Linked DNA regions of Caenorhabditis elegans. The protein of the gene in region 1 purifies or fractionates together with the protein of each later gene. This does not show direct contact. Each region holds a gene or a part of one and is shown on either strand. Other genes may lie near its edges.

Region 1 (5,971 bases):
ACTAAAAAATTTGAATTCACCGGTCTCCCGCCGATACAGTGGAGCGCAATTGCACTTCGATCTCAAAAAGCGCGAAATTCAAACTTTTTCAACTATTTTCGCTGGTTTCACCCATATTATGGCACTTTTTATAGTTTTTGTCTATTTTCTAGTGTTTTTTAGTACTTTTTAAAATAGAATCGTTAGGAAATGCTCGAAAATGTCAAAAATCCACAAAAATGGCTTCTCGATGTGCCCAAAATCACAATTTTCTACGATTGAATAATATTTTTTTTCCAGGTCCCTGATGCAAAAATACGAAGTCAAGACAATTCCAGCCATGAGAATTGTAAATGATCAGGGAGAAGTGATTGTTCAGGATGCTCGGACTGAAATTCAGAATAAGGGAGAGAATGTTGAAGGCCTGTGGGCTGAGTGGATGGCTTTGATCAAGTGATTCTTGCATAATTATTTGAATTTTTTTGAAAAATCTATAATTCCTAGCTTTTAGAATATTTTGCACTTAAATATTTCGATAAAATTTTTTTAATCGCGAAACTTTTGGTTCATTTACAGAATTTTGGGCGGGAAAATTTGAATTTAAAATAAAAATGCGAAGGATTGTATAATTTTTAAGAGAAGAAAAAATAGTTAAAAAATTAGGCGATAGTGTTGACAAGTGAGAAGAAGAGTACTTCCTTCTTTCCCTTCAATTGTCGAGATTGATTCGGTTCGATTGCTTTCAGAATTGAAGCCAGTTGGGTTACCATTTCAGATTTGCTCATATTTCCGCATTTTCCGTTCATTTTGTGGAGGAGTTCCTGCAAAAAATGGAATTTTATTATGAGAAAATTTGGATTTTTTCAGATTTCGCTGAAATTTTTGGTACAGGAGCGATTTTTGAATAGGTTTTTCAGCTTTCAATTTTATTTAAATTATAATTTTTTTTAATTGAAAATTTATATTAGAGTTTTCTTGCTTTTTTGTCAAATTTTTAACATTTTTTATGAACAAATGATGCAATTTCTAGCATAATTCATTTTTCTAAAGTTTTTTATTCCGAATTTTGTGAAAAATTAAAAATTTTCTATTTTTTTTAATTAAAAATTTTTAAAAATGCTCATAGGTTAAATTGATTAGATTTAAATTTATTATAAAAAAAAATAGTATTAAATTTTTTGAAAACAAAAAATCTATTTTGTTACCAGTTTTTTGATTTTTAGGTTTTGAAAAATCGAAAAATTTCAATTTGGCTGTTTTTCTTATTTTTAGCATAAAATTGAATTTTTTTCTCATGTGTTTTCTTCTCAATATAAACCAAAAAATTGATTTTTTTTTAATTTTTAATTTTTCTCCGAAAAATCGAAATTTTCGCGGAAAATAACTTTCTTGGTATTTTCTGCATTAACTTATATATTTTTCTGTTTTTTTCGTTCGAAAAAATTATACCTATATTTTAAATATTTTTAAAGTTTTCGTGCAATTTTCTCAAAAATTGAATTTCCTTCTTACAATTATCACAAGTTTCATAATTTTAATTTTAAAAATAAATAAAAAGTTTATTATCCTTTTTTTGTTAACTTTTTAAACATTTTTTTTTTCGTTTTTTTGTTGTTTTTTTTATCCTGAGAAAATCGATTTTTTTTTCTGAAATTTTTCCTATTTTTCGAATTTTCCAATTCACCTTCGTTGTATGCGGTTTACGACGCAAATATCTGCGAACAGTTTCCTCATTGAGTCCTTCCTCAAATTTAACAGCCGGTTTCGCTTTTTTCGCATCACTCGGACCAAGATTATCCATTTTAAGATCAGAATCTTCAGTTGGTGGACGTTTTTTTCCGGTTCCTCCCGAGCCGCCTTCTCCATCCTTGTTAGCCTTCATAAAAACTACAGAATCGAGTTTTTCAGTGTCGGAAACATCAGAATCTGTTCCAGATGAATCACGTTCTTCAATATCATTTCCTTTTTTCTTATCACCATATGGTTTCATTAATTTCTTCGTTAAATCATCTTCAGATTCACTGCTATCAGATTCACGTGCTCCTTCTTCTTCAGCAACTCCGACTAGTTGTTTCTCGATTTTTTCGTCTGATGGAACTTGTTCACGGCTGAAAATGGGTAATTCATTGATTTTTCAATTTTTTTTGAAGGGAAAATCGAAAAATTAATTTTTTTTTCGATTTATTACATTTTTTTCAGAGAAAAACGAAAAATGGAAAAGATTTTCAATTTTTCAAATTTTTTTTCAGAAAATTCGGACTTTTTTTTAGTTTTCAATTTTACTAAGAAAATTGGAAAATAACAATTTTTAATTAGAAAATGGAAATTTATTATCGATTTTCTAGAAAAAAAACCGAAAAACTTCGATTTTTTAAATTTTTCCCAGCGAAAATCGAAAATATTCTATTTTATAATTTTTTCAGAAAAAAAAAAATCAAACATCGAAAATGTTTGATTTTTTTCGGTATTTTAAATTTTTTCCCAATTTTTCCGACTAATTAGTAAATTTTTTTATTTTTATTTTTGCAATTATATTTTGTTTAAATATTTTTTTTCATAATAAATCGAAAAATAAATTTTTTCCCGATTTTTTTATTTTTTAGAATAAGAATCGCAAAACGAATTTTTTAAAAAGAGAAATTCGAAATTTTTTAATTTTTTTCAGAAAATCAAAAACGAATTTTTAAAAGATTTGTTATTTTTTCTTTTCCAAAATAAAATTAAAAATTTTTTCAAAAAAAGAAACCAACTCAGAATCAGTTCCACTGTCAGAAATGTAGTCGTACTCGCGGCCCTCGTCCTCTCCGTCCGATGACTCGTATTCTTAAAATTTTTTTTTTTTGTAAAATGAGAAACCATAATCTTGAACATTTTCTATTTTTCTGAAATCAAAAATCTATATTTTTTCGTTTAAAATGCCGGAAATGTGTGAAAATTTTGATTTTTCCTCAAAAAAAAAAGATAGAAAAACGATTTTTTTCTGAAAAACTAGAAAATTTTCATATTTTCCGATACTTCAAACAAAAAAATCCGAAATTTTTTATTTATTTTCGATATTAATGGAAAAATCCATTTTTTTACGAAATGTCGAATTTTTGTTTCAATTTTCGTTAAGTTTTCGATTTTTCACATTTTAAACAAACAAAAAATTAGATTTTTCAAAATTTCTTTTTTTTTGTTGAATTTTCGGAAAATCGGTTTTTTCAAAAAAAAAACAGCAAAAATTCGATTTTTTTGAAGTATCGGAAAAATTAATGGCGAATTTTTTTTTCAATTTGTGTTTAATTTTTCGATTTTCTTTGAAAAGGTCGAAAAAATTCCTATTTTTCGGCATTTCAAACAAAAATCGATGTTTTTAATCGGAATTTTTCCGAATTATTCCTTCGATATTTCAAAAAATCCGCCAGAGCTATTACTCACTAGCAACATCATCCTTATCCTCAACCCTCTGCCTCTTCTCTTTCGCCGGTTTCGCATTCTTCTTCTTCTTTTTCTTATTCTTCGCCTTTTTTCCATCATCACCACCCTCTCCCTCATCATCACCATCCGAATCATCAGAGCTCGCCTCATCCTTAATTTTCAGTAGACGTTTCTGCTGCTCTGTCATTTCCGATTCATCCGTCGCACTCAATTGGTTCTGTATCGCTGCTTTCAAAGCGAATTGATTCATAACTTTATATCTCTGAGAGAATTGCTCCTCGGCTTGATCAATATCAAGAGTTTTATGAGTAATCGCTGGCAGGAATTTATGCCATTCATCGACTTTATAAGCTTTAAACTCAGAAGATTGATTTGGTTTCAGAAAAACCCAATAATCAGCATGCTCATTTGCACCACCTTCTCGAATTCCTCTCATTTGCCTCTGCCGTCCTTCTGGCTCAGTGAATGCCATCTTCCATGGCTGATTATCAAGTCGATATTTTTTTGATTGTCTTCCATATTTCTTTCGGCGAGCTTCTTCCCTCGCAGCTTTTCCATACTCGGATCCTTCTCCGTATTCTTGAACTGTCTGTGTTGATAGAATTACACGTTGATTATCCTCTCTCTCCATTGTAACACCACTGTCTATTGTCCATTTTGATGTGTCCACTTTGTCCATTCCGTTGAACATCATTACAGAGTAACGGATATCATCGCTTCGTTTTGCAACGCGGACACTGAACTCGCTTTGAACTCCTTCTGGTTTGACAGGTTTCAGGCCAGACATTTCTGGAAATAATTTGGGTTAAAAATGGGATGTTTTACGCATTAAAATAAGAAAAAATCCTGAAAAAACTGAATTCTTTCGAGGTAAATTTCAAAAAAGTCTAAAATTCAAGAAAACCACAAATTCCCTCGGAATTTGGCTAAAATTGAGAAATCACGGTTTTTGAAGTTTTTATTTGAATTTTTTTTCATTTGCGATTATTTTTCGTGCTTTTTTTTGTGGATTTCCTGAATTTAAGACTTTTGTAAATATTTTTCTTTAAAAAATTGTCTCAGAAAAGCCAAATTCCGCTAAATTTTCGAATTTTTCATTTTGCTCGTCCAAAAACGGTCTGAATGGTTTTTTTTACAGAGTATCCTATAATTGCATAATCTTATCGTTTTTCTTGTAGTGAGGAGCTAAATATTTGCAAAAATCGGTGAAAAATAGCTCATTTCAGCTAAAATCTTATACTTTCTCAATTTATTTGGTCAGAAATTGATTTTTATTCCAATTTTTCCATTAATTGCAAATTTGATCGTTTATTCCATTTTTTGAACCATAAACGCAAAAAAAGTATCAAAAAATCCGTAAAATATCAGAGAAAATTGATTAAAAACTGGTAAAATTCGAGATTTTAGCTTTTTTTTCGCAATTTTTGAAAATCTCTACGAGAAATTAGGTTTTTCTGGCATTTTGGAGCAAAAATGGTGAGGAAATTCAATCGTAAAAGGTATTAAAGCAATCGAACGCCTTGAAAATCAAAAAAAAAAGTTCAATAAAATTAAGCTGAGCAATGGTTTTCTTTAAATAAACAAAAAAAATCTAACCGAGCTGAAAATTACAACAAAAAGATGGAAGATAGCTACCTAAACAGAAAAAAAAACAAAAAAAAATACACGTAAAAAAATCTAGAACAAATTCAATAACGATTTCCGGTTCTGGGCTTGGTATTTGAGAACTTTCATTTCAATAACGTTGGCGATCTCCTCAGCTTTTCGATTTTGTCCGTAATAATCGTGGAATTGGCCAGAGGGGTCTGGAAAATTAAATAATTTGAGTTTTTATCCAATTTTTATACTAAAAATCTAAAAATCTCACCAATTAGGTACATAATAACCGTGTGATCTACAATATAATCATCTTCTTGCTTATTTGTCCTGGGTCCCTGGCTATGATATACTCTGAACGTTTTCGCAACTTTATTAACTTGCTCTGTGGTTCCAGTGAATCCACGTAGCTTGTTGGAGAACTCGGAGCAATATTCTTTCACTCGAGCAACAGAATCTCGCTCAGGATCTACTGAAATGAATACGGGAACGATCGGCGTCGCGTCCTTCTTTGCCTCGATAATTTCCACGACTTTCACCATTTTCTCAATCTCATCAGGGCAAATATCCGGGCAATTTGTGAATCCAAAGTACATCAGAAGCCAATTTCCACGTAGTTCCTGAGATCCTTCCATTTTCCCGTCTGTATTCATCAATTCCCATTCTCCACCGATTCTCGCTTTTCCTGCCGTCTGTTTTCGGTGTTTTTCCCTCTCATCCAGACGGATTTTCTTGATGTAAAATAGAGCGGCAAGGCATGTTCCGCCGACTGCAAATGTTCCAAGAACGGTTTTCCAGTTGAAAATGCTGCTCCGCTGAAAGGCTTCTTGCTCGGCTTGTTTTCGGAAATTCATGAAATTCTTGTCGACCGGCGGTTCTTTCGGGCTGCTCGTCGTCTCGGTCTCCGTGATTCCAGTTTTCAGAATTTCGTTCAACTTCTTCAAATCCTTCTGCAAATCCGTCTCCAGGTCGTCAC
Region 2 (6,535 bases), on another chromosome or scaffold:
AAGTTTTGGGCGCTGCTAACACTACAAACTACAAATTTTGGGCGCTGCTAAACTACAAACTACAACTTTTGGGCGCTGCTTAGACTACAAACTACAAGTTTTGGGCGCTGCTAATTCAATTTTGGGCGCTGCTTAGACTACAAACTACAAGTTTTGGGCGCTGCTAACACTACAAACTACAACTTTTGGGCGCTGCTAATTCAATTTTGGGCGCTGCTTAGACTACAAACTACAAGTTTTGGGCGCTGCTAATTCAATTTTGGGCGCTGCTTAGACTACAAACTACAAGTTTTGGGCGCTGCTAATTCAATTTTGGGCGCTGCTTAGACTACAAACTACAAGTTTTGGGCGCTGCTAAACTACAAACTACAAGTTTTGGGCGCTGCTAACACTACAAACTACAAGTTTTGGGCGCTGCTAATTCAATTTTGGGCGCTGCTAAACTACAAACTACAACTTTTGGGCGCTGCTCAAGGGAAAAATCAGTTTTTTTTTCTGAAAAGTATCGCCGAAAACTGAAAATCTCCAATTTTCTCCTCAAAAATTGCAATTTTCGCACTGAAATCTATGAAATCCCATAAAAAGATCTTAAAAAGACATTTTCTCATTGAAATTTGAGCTCAAAAATATACGAAAAATCGATAAATTTCAGAAAAAACACTAGCAATCGGGACATTTTGCTCCAAAAATTCCGTTTTCCGACAAAAATCCGGGGTTTTCAGCTTAAGAAGTGCGAAAAAAAAGAATGAAATTTACACTAAAATGCTTGATAAATAAGATTTTAGACCGAAATTTCCAAATTTTAGCTCAAAATTATGCGGAAATTCTGCATTTTTCGGTTAAAAATTCCCAAAATTAAAATTTTCAGCACAACACAGCGCTTCGGAGTAGCCACCACCACCACAAAATGCTCTGAAACCGACGATGAATTTCCACAAGGTTATCAAATCATTGGTGATGGAAATGTTCCATGTGCCACCACGTCAGAAGATGAGGATGACGTCATCACCACCGATAACTTTGATGACGTCACCACGAGCTCTGGATTATGGTGCAATTTCGTGATATCTCCGGATGATTTTGTGAGAAAAAATGATGTGGAAAAACTGGAAATTTCCGAGGAAAAATCGATGACAATACCGCTTGATGGTGACAAATTGGCACAGATATCCGCTGCAATGGCGAATTTTCAGTTGCCTACACCGCCCGGCTGGGAGGGTGTCAGCGATTCGAAAATATTGGAATTTGTTAGACAACGAGTCTGAAAACTGTGTGCTGAAAATCCAATAAAAATCACTTGTTTGCCGGGTTTTTGCTGAAATTTTTGTTAAAAATTGAGGGTTTTTAGCCCGAGAAATATTGATTTTCGCTTTATTTTTCAGGATTTTATTGTTTTTTCCTCGAAGCTATCGATTTTTCTGCAAATTTATCGATTTTTCTGCAAATTTATCGATTTTCTGGAAATTTGTCGAATTTTCTGCAATTTTATTGACTTTTCTGGAACTTTATCGATTTTTCTCTCATTTAATTGATTTTTCTGCAAATTTATCGATTTTTCTGCAAATTTATCGAGTTTTCTGGAAGTTTATCGATTTTTCTGAAAATTTATCGATTTTTTTTAAAAATTAATTGATTTTTTTTTTGCAAATTTATCGATTTTTTCTCAATTCTTTCATTTCTTCCTCGATTTCATCGCTTTTCCACCTATTTTCCCCTGTAAAACTCTCGATTCTCCAGGAAAATGAGCCCAACGAAGCGATATTCGAATGACGTCGACTGTGAGCTGGCAAAACGGAGCATTTGGCTTGTAAAAGTGCCCAGATATTTGTCAGAGCTCTGGGATGCCAACGAGGGAAATGTTGTTGGAAAATTGCAGATTGGAGCGCAGGTAAAATTGGAAAAAATATTGAAAATCCTGTTGAAAATGCTGAAAATGAAGTTTTTGGCCCAAAAATAGTGTGGAAAATCGGAAAAATCTGAAATTCTGGTCAAAAATGTGATTTTCAAAGGAAAAAACATCGATTAAATCATAAAAGATATGAAATTTGGGAAAAAATTCAAAAATAAGGTAGAACCGTCGTTTTTTGGACAGAAAAATACCTCAGGTTTTCAAATGAAAAAAATCTGAAAAATGTGGAAAACGGCATTTAATTTTCAATTTAATGACATTTTTCCTCGAAAATCTGAATTTTTGTCTCAAAAATTGACAAAAATCGATTTTTTGCCGGAAAAACTGGATAATTCCACTGAAAATTTGACATTTAACCAATTTTTCTGTGTTTTACATAAAAATGCACTGAAGAAGAACCAAGAAATTCGAAATTCTACTGAAAATGCGGAAAAATTCGAAATTATTTTAAGAAAATTAAATTTTAACTGCTTTTTTAAACTCAAAATTTGAAATTTTCTGCTAAAAATTCAATTTTGATCAAAAAAGCCTGAATTTCTCACCGAAAAATGAAATTTTCTGAAAAAATTGAAAAAAAAAATACACCAGAAGCTTAGAAAATCGATTTTTCAATGAAATTTTCAGTGGAATTAATTGTTTTTCGGTTGAAAATCGATTTTTCAAGTTAAAACGCTAGTTTTACAGTGAAAAATGCTCATTTTTAGAGTTTTTTCACGGGAAAAATGCTTAAATTAGGACATTTTTCTCCGAAAACTGAATTTTTGGTTTAAAAATTTAAATTTCAGGTCGAGCTTCACACCGCCAAAGGTCTCATTCATCCCAAACCAAAAGAGCCCACAGAGGGCTCATCATCTACAGTAACCCAACCAGAAGCCTCGGAAATTCCAACAGAATACTCATTTATTCTTCATGACGTCAAATCTCAAACAATGAGCGTTTTATCCGAAGATAAGCAGGGACTCGGTGCAGATGCTCCAATCAAAACTGGAAAACTGGCAATTGAGGGACGAATTATCAAAAAAGCGGAATGTCGGCCACCGGCCACGTCGAAATATATGAAAATGAAGTTGGCACATATTGTGAAAAATACTCAACCAAAGAAAACGGTTAAAATGATTGAAAAAGCGGCTGTGAAGTTTAAGCCCGTGTCTGTACATGCTGAAGATATGATTAAGAGCAAACAGAAGAAGGATGGAGCTAAAACTTATCGAGCTGATAGAGATGTGCTCCGTGGAGCTCTTTTCAAAGCTTTTGAGAAGCATAGTTTTTATAGGTAAAATACTCGAGAAAACTACGGAAAATTTGTGTTGTTTTGGCCTTTTTCACTGCAACTTTTTCCTCACGAGGGACGAGGAAAAGTGGTTTCTAGGCCATGGCCGAGGGGAAGACAAATTTCAGCGGCCATTTATCTTGCTTTGTTTTCCGCCTGTTTTCTTTCGTTTTTCATCGATTTTTTTCGTTTTTTCTTAATAAAACTGATAAATAAATATTTTTTGCAGATGCCAAAACGATTTCCAAGTAAAAAAAAGTGTATTCAGTGGGCAAGCAGCGGTGAAAGTGGGCATTGTAATATGATGGATTACGGGAATACAAAACCTAAACTTTTTCTTAAACATTATACATATGCTGCTTAGATGCTGAAGCTACCTGATTTTCATAACGAGACCGCTGAAAAAGTTTTGAGGTTTCCAAAATTCAACTTTTTGTGCGAAAATCTCGACTTTTTCACCAAAAAAGTTGAATTTTGAAAACCCTAAAACTTTTTCAGCGGTTTCGTTATGAAAATCAGGTAATTTCAGCATCTAAGCATCATATGTATCATGTTTCAGAAAAAGTTTAGGTTTTGTATTCCCGTAATCCATCATTTTACATTGACCATTTTCACCACTGCTTGCCGACTGAATACATAATTTTTTTACTTGGAAATTGTTTTAGCATCTGCAAAAAGTATTTATTTATCAGTTTTATTAAGAAAAAACGGGAAAAGGCTGTGAAAAACGAAAGAAAACAGGCGGAAAACAAAGCAAGATAAATGGCCGCTGAAACTTGTCGGCCCCTCGGCCATGGCCTAGAAACCACTTTTCCTCGTCCCTCGTGAGGAAAAAGTTGCAGTGAATTTTTTGAAAGTTTTAATAATGGTGTAGTCGAATTATTTTTATCGCCTTATTAGACTCAAAATTGTCTAAAAACACCGAATTTCATAATGAAACTTCTTGAAATCTTTTCAGAAAAGAGTTATGACGGCTCAAAAAATGGTCTAAAATTCGTTAAAATCGGAAATTTGACTTGTCAAGCGGCTCAAAACTATTTTTTTTTGAAATCACCGTCAAATTTTAAGTTTACAAGTTGATCATCTTGCGTTTTGAACTTGATTAAGGTATTTAAAAATCGATAGACGGCGAGATTTTTAATTTTTTCAAACCCAAACTCGCCGTCTATCGATTTTTAAATACCTTAATCAAGTTCAAAACGCAAGATAATCAACTTGTGAACTTAAAATTTGACGGTGATTTCAAAAACAAATAGTTTTGAGCCGCTTGACAAGTCAAATTTCCGATTTTAACTAATTTTAGACCATTTTTTGAGCCGTCATAACTCTTTTCTGAAAAGTTTTCAAGAAGTTTCATTATGAAATTCGGTGTTTTTAGACAATTTTGAGTCTAATAAGGCGATTAAAAAAGTCGACTACACCACCTTTAATGTGGTTTTCCCACAAAAAACTACTGGAAATTTGCAGTATTTTGAGCTGATAACGAATTTTTGGGCGCTGCTTAGACAACAAAAACTACAGTTTATTTCATTAAAAACTGGTAAAAATTCTGGAAATTCGAATAGAAACCGATTTTTAAAGTAAATTTTGCCAGAAATCCACAAAAAAATGGCAAAAATCGGATAAAATCTGAATTCGAAGATTTTGGGCACTGCTAAAGCTACAAACTACAAGTTTTGGGCGCTGCCAATGAATTTTGATGCCGAGAATTTGAATTTCTGTTGAAAAAATGAGTAAAAATCTACATTTTTGAAGGTTCATGGTTTTTCACCAAAAAAAACTGCAGAAAACACCGATTTTTAAACAAAATCTCACCGAAAAATATTAAAAATTGGCGGAAATCGGTTAAAATCGGTTCAAGATCCGAATTTTTACATTTTGGGCGCTGCTTAGACTACAAACTACAAGTTTGGGCGCTGCTAATTCCATTTTGGGCGCTGCTTAGACTACAAACTACAAGTTTTGGGCGCTGCTGATCCGAATTTTTTGCAATTTTGGGCGATTTTTCAATTAAAAATGGAAGAAAATCTATATTTTCATTCAAAAAGTGTCAAAATTTTACGTTTTACTCATTTTTAAAGGGATTTTTACAGATTTTCCCAAGAAAAACTGAAAAAAATAGGCAAAAATTGACGAAATTCCACGTATTTTGCACCTTTCGTTGAGTTTTTTTAGGAAATTCTACACACAAAAAACTGTAAAAATTGGGTGTTATTTTGGTATCAATCGATTAAAAACTGCATTTCAACGTTTTGGGCGCTGCTTAGACTACAAACTACAAGTTTTTGGGCGCTGCTAACTACATGAAACCTCGTTTTTTTGCCAAAATTTCCAAAGTTTTTTCAAAAATCGCACATTTTCGCTAGAAATTTCCGATTTTCAAGCCGAAATATGCGAAAATAATGAAAAATCACACATTTCTAGTGTATTTTTTGGAATTTTTAACGAGAAACACACTAGTTTCCTCCAAAATTTCTAACTTCTTAGAATTCTGTGCATTTTCGATGAAATTTCGGATTTTTTGGCTGGCCGCTGCTTAGACTACAAAAACTACAATTTCTCGCATTTCAGACTTCAAGATCTTCAGCAACTCCTTCAACAACCGGTCAGCTACGTCAAAGAAGTGCTCCAAGAGATTGCCGTCTACAATACTGCTCCACCGCACAAGTCTCTGTGGTGCCTGAAACCGGAATACTGTAACTACAAAGTCAACGCACAATCGGAATAATTCCAACTTTTTTTTGGACATTATTATTATTATTTATTTACTATACATCTCTTCTTTTTTAAAAACATGATGAACACTTGTGAATATTGGGGATTTTTGAATTTTTTTTTTTTTGGATTTCTTCGTTGATTTTGGGTTATTTAGCCCAGTTTTCTATTTATTATCAGATTTTTTTTCGTTTTTTTTCGAGAAAAATAGGAAAAAAAAATTGATTTTTTACTTCTTTTTTTTTCAGAATGGTCAAATTTCAAATCGAAAAAAAGACGCTTCTGGGCCGCTTGGGCAAAATCGACACATGGGGCTCCGTGGAGGTTAACCACCAGACCCCATCCTTTCAAACCTACCTACGAGCCGGACATATTCCCCACCTGACATGGGAAGTTGCTGAGAATCAGCTGAAACTCGAACAAACCCACATTTTTCAAATGACGCTCCCAACGCTGGTGTCAAACGCGAAAATTATCGAGAAATTCGGAAAAGGCGCTGCGAAATTTTGTGGGATGCCTGCAGGCGCGGCGGTTCACCTGACACCGTTTGACCCGCTTGGAAAGCTTCCCGGAGGGTATAATGACTCGAAATCCGTCGCGATTTGGACGGCAAACGGAAAAGTTTCGTTGGATGTTAAAAT
Region 3 (4,825 bases), on another chromosome or scaffold:
TTTCCTGTCACGACCCCCGTAAGAAAAACCTTTCCACTCAGACTTTATACTCTCTTAAAATATTTCATGTATATGTGTGCATGCAAACTTGCTCCGGAAGTTGCTAAGTTTTTGAATCGCCATTTTTTGAGTTTTCATGTCGGACTATACTTTTTGTCAACCAGTGTTGCAATACAACTGCACAAAACTCCGTCATAAGATTTATTGGATCTGAAAACTGATTTCTTATAGCTCACTGACGTAATTTATTAAATGTTACGTAGCAAAAAAAGATGAAGCAAGTTTTAAGAGTAGGTCAAGTGAGTTATTGGAGGTAGACTGAGTGGTCAGAAGCAAGGTCCACCACAAAACGGAAGAGCATAAAAGGCGCACCTCTGTGGGAGGAAAGGCAAGCGCCCGTGCGGTCATCAATTCTTTTGCTGCCCACTTACCAAAAACTATACTTTTTTTGCCGAATACCACATATGTGTTATCTTTCCTTTGTTAATCATGCTCAGATGGTTTCTTTGTTGGTGTTGACTAATAGTTTGTTTCAAGTACAATGACCTTGCGCTCATTTTTTTCTTAGTATAGTTTGAGCTCTCTATTTCTGGATATTTCTACTTTGTCCATCCATTTAGGAAGTTCGTAAAATATATGTACTGTATTTACCACTTCACTAAATTTTTTTTCAACTCCCTATCACTTCTTTAAAATACGGTCATTTAAAAATTACTTTCTCTTAATTAATCAAGAATTGTTAATGGCTAATTATCAAAAATAGAGGTATATTTGTTCATTTTTCAATTTTTTTTCTGGTTTATAAAGCTCCTCTGAAATATTTTCCTTGTTAAAAAATTAAAAAATTTATAAAATTTACCGCATTTCATATTGTATGGTTCATAATTGACCTCTTCTCATAGTCAGATTGGGATTTTACAATTATTTAACAATTTGATATTTATTTGCGTTTAATTAAACTTTAATAACTTTGTACCATTGTTTTTTATTATCAATTACTGAGTTTATGCCACTTTTTGAGAAAACTATAGCTTTGCTGCATGTTTGAATCCCTACAATTCTTGAAACATAACTAGATAATACATTTTCAAAGATACATTTTTTTCCGACCGCTTTCAAGAACATTGCAAAAATAAGTAATTACCACTTTTGAAACAATGTTTTTATAAGAAAGCATTCAAAACACGTTTGAAAATTTTAAATATGATATTTGATCATTTTGGCACGATCGGAGTGGTTTTCAACAATTTCCCCACTGGCTCCACCTTGAAATGTAAAAACAACTAAAAGTTATTTTTATACCATCTACATTCTTCCAAAAAAAATTATACTCATTCCCGAAACTTGTTCTTTACTTGAAAGAACTCAGCAAGATTGATGGAAAATGATCGGAAATGGAGGTTGCGCTCGCTTTCTTTTCTTGTCCCGCAGCCTATCTTCGTGTGTTTTCTTGTTTCAACTCACCGACTATAGTTACTGACGCATTCCAAAGAGCTATTATTGCTCATGTAATGGACACTGCTAACCAATTGTTCCAATGTGCACTTTAATCGCTCCTTATACTTTTCCTGTCGTATTACCCGCCTCCCAATCATGCCAGTATATATATTTATCCGAATAATTTTTGAGATGTTAAAAATTTTATTTTTTTTCTGCAAATTTTAAAAAGGTTTCGAAAAATTTCAAACGCTTACAGATCCCAATTGAAAAGATCAACATAATTGGATGAGTGAGACATTCTGATGTTGTCTGCTCAAGAGTACACATGTAACCAGTTCCAGTCTTTCCATGCTGACCGTCTGTCTATATTTGGTCGTCTTTCCAATTTTTGCTTCTTCGCAGTTTTTATCATATGATGGTAGGTGAAGCTTCAGAAAATTCAATTTCATGTCCCAATTTTCAGCAATTCGAATGAGGGTACCAGGACGTTGTATGTTGGGTGACTATGATTGCGGGTTAGGTCAGTGTGTTCCAATTTCTCAATTTCGAGATGGAAAACCTGATTGTATGGATGGTAGCGATGAATGTAAGTACATGAAGCAATATGATTTTAAGGTAATTCACGTTTAGGGTGTTTCATCGGTCAAGTTAGTTGTGGTCCAGTTTATTGTGCAGATTACAAAGATGCACTTCCATGTATTGTTTATCCTAAATGTGACGGTTCATCAAAACAACTTCCATGGTGTTCTACGTCAAGTGAGTTCATTTTAGGTTTACCTAATAATCTCGATTAGTATATTAGACATTTGAAGGGAGTAACTTCCTGCTAAACAATTGAAAACTGCCATGGAATTTCGTTTGCCAACTTTTTTGGGCAGTTTTTAATAGAGCATGTCAATTATTTAAAAATTCAGAATATTTTTATTTTGTCTGAATTTTTGTCATTTGTCTGCAGCTAATACTCAATAGTTGGGAGAAAAAACATACGGGAATAAGTTAGTGAAATTTTAAATTTTCAGAAGAAAAACTATGTGCGGATGAAACGTCATTTCCGTGCAAAGGTTACGGAGAGTGTGTTTTGTGGGAATGGTTGTTAGACGGGAAGAAGGATTGTAACGATGGCAGCGATGAAGGTATTTTTACTTTTAAAAAATTGGCAAATTGATAAAAACAATTTTTGATCGCAATAGTATGTAGTGTTATTCTCTGGAACTAACGTTTGTAATATTGTTTGAAGAAATATTCTTGTGTGGATTAAACTGGAAATTTGGAGAGTTCAAAATCAGAATTTGTTTTTCCAGACGAAAACTATGTGATGCCTCTTGAACACGCCTATAGATGTGCCAGAAATCAATCCGGACTCTATCTCCCAAAACCAGTACCACCACCACCGGAAGATCACCCGTCTCTCTACGTGGAAGGTTGCTCAATGTGCTCGAAACCATCTACCGTCACCTTGCCATCTAATCCTGTGATAGACTATACTACTCCAAAATATCCGTTTATTACATCTCCTCTGCTGGGAAATACAAAACCACCGTTGAGTAACTTCCCAGTATTTCCAAGTGAAGAATCAAAACTTGGGGATTTCTTCCCTGAACCATCCGGTGTCGAAATATCACGAGTAACTGGCTTCCACAAACCAAATGAGCCAATAGGAGACTTCTTTCCAACACATTCATCAACACCTGTACCTCCAACAGAAGCTGTCACTCAATCTCACACATTTCGCCTTATAACAATTCCATCAATTAGCCAGACGCAGTTTCCTCAGGCTCCGCTCATTTTTCCTGGACGGCCAGACTTGCCACCCATCACTGCGCCCTCACCTCTAAACAACTGGCCAATTCCAATTGTGACTACCACACCGGACCCACACCATCAAGGCCCACTTCCGCCGATTACGTATCCAACTATAGAAGAGGGTTCGGAAAAGATTCCACCAATAAAACCGGGAATTATAATCAGCCGACCGGTCACTTCAAGAAAACCAGATCTACCATCAGAGTTTGAGTATGGAGGAGGCACGGGTGATGGAATATCGCAACCACCAGGAATGAATCCATTTGACATGCTCACTAGGCCCAGTGTTCCAATGACAACTCCAGGACCTTTTGACATGTTTCCTAATGTACCACCTGTAGACCTCCGCCCAGTTACCCGACCATGGGAATCTGAAAAAACAAAACCTTATCCTGGTGTTACAATACCGGATGAACAAAAATCCGGTACCGACACGTTAATACCATTAATTCCTGGTCGCATTCTTCCAACTTTCGCAACACCAAGACCACTCTCCATTCCAAGTTTTTTCACAACTCCCCAGTCACCCCATAGACCTTTCGTAACTCAAAATCCTCCTCATGGTGCATTACCAACACTGATCCCACAAGCCGAAATTGAGAAGTATGTGCAAACGGAAGTACCACCTCACTCTGGTTTCGAAATACCGGGAGGGGGTTTCACAACACCTGGTAGCCATATTACCCATCCTTCGAAAGTTCCAGAAGGTTTCATTGAAGAAAAAACATTGCTGACGCCTTCTACAAACAATGCTCAGACAACTCAGATAGACAGAAATCTTACACCGAAAACCACCACTTTGAAGGCTACATCTCGAACAAAAATTATTCATGTTGGACCAAACGGGGTTGTTGAAGAAATCGATAATAATGAGTCGACGAAGATTGAAAATGAAACAAATTTGGGAGAACATGAAGGACAAATTGTACCAGGATCAGATAAAGTCATACACATTGGTCCAACAGTGAAAACGACTCCAACACCATCTAGTGGTACTTCAACGATTGTCACCGAAAACAGTTCAACCTTCGAATCGGTATCGACTTCAAGTGTTCCAACAACAACAGTGAAGACAGGTGACCCACAGGTTGATGACTGCCTCCGAAGAATGTCTGATTCTGGTGGATCGGTAATTTGTGATTGTCCAAATGGCCAATTCAAAAACACTGGGAACGGGCAATGTGAAGGTATTGTTCAAAATTGTATCGCTTTAATTAATTTTGCTTGAAAATATTTCAGAAACTCTTTCATTGGTGGTTGTCAAAGTGAAGGTTAACACAGTTTGTAATACAGATAAGGCATCGCTTGAGCAAAAACAGCGGATTTTACATCAAAAGGTAGATTTGTGGGTATCAATTATTTTTCATATTGGAAGTTTTTGCAGATTGGTCAATCTTATAAATCGTGCATTCGTTCGGCGGAACATGATTCTGCATTAGTTGCTATTGTTCAATGTAGTGACTGCACTTTGCAAGAGATCGATCGATTGTTAACGACAAGATCATTCGGGGAGCCTGGAAACTTGAATCTGACTGCAGAAGGTGAGTGTGCACAGCTTATAAACCATATCATGTAAATTATT

The links.
Region 2: the proteins of gtf-2F1 (region 1) and gtf-2F2 fractionate together in Caenorhabditis elegans (co-fractionation; one large-scale study listed by BioGRID). This does not show direct contact.
Region 3: the proteins of gtf-2F1 (region 1) and R11G1.1 fractionate together in Caenorhabditis elegans (co-fractionation; one large-scale study listed by BioGRID). This does not show direct contact.

Annotation. Positions count from the first base shown.
Region 1 is NC_003280.10:4,299,824-4,305,794, reverse strand, and holds gtf-2F1 (Transcription initiation factor IIF subunit alpha), read right to left. Parts: upstream 4,189-5,971; 5' UTR 4,187-4,188; coding exon 3,400-4,186; intron 2,803-3,399; coding exon 2,730-2,802; intron 2,088-2,729; coding exon 1,664-2,087; intron 801-1,663; coding exon 639-800; 3' UTR 525-638; downstream 1-524. Other genes in the region: nxnr-1 (protein-disulfide reductase), read left to right, coding at 280-436; sco-1 (Thioredoxin domain-containing protein), read right to left, coding at 5,077-5,204, 5,267-5,970.
Region 2 is NC_003283.11:18,992,203-18,998,737, forward strand, and holds gtf-2F2 (General transcription factor IIF subunit 2), read left to right. Parts: upstream 1-1,737; 5' UTR 1,738-1,741; coding exon 1,742-1,888; intron 1,889-2,694; coding exon 2,695-3,182; intron 3,183-5,750; coding exon 5,751-5,907; 3' UTR 5,908-5,998; downstream 5,999-6,535. Other genes in the region: Y39B6A.37 (Structural protein), read left to right, coding at 869-1,265; tgt-2 (Queuine tRNA-ribosyltransferase accessory subunit 2), read left to right, coding at 6,144-6,535.
Region 3 is NC_003284.9:3,657,704-3,662,528, forward strand, and holds the start of R11G1.1 (EGF-like domain-containing protein), read left to right. Parts: upstream 1-1,788; coding exon 1,789-1,858; intron 1,859-1,903; coding exon 1,904-2,026; intron 2,027-2,070; coding exon 2,071-2,196; intron 2,197-2,459; coding exon 2,460-2,573; intron 2,574-2,741; coding exon 2,742-4,430; intron 4,431-4,482; coding exon 4,483-4,580; intron 4,581-4,627; coding exon 4,628-4,784; intron 4,785-4,825.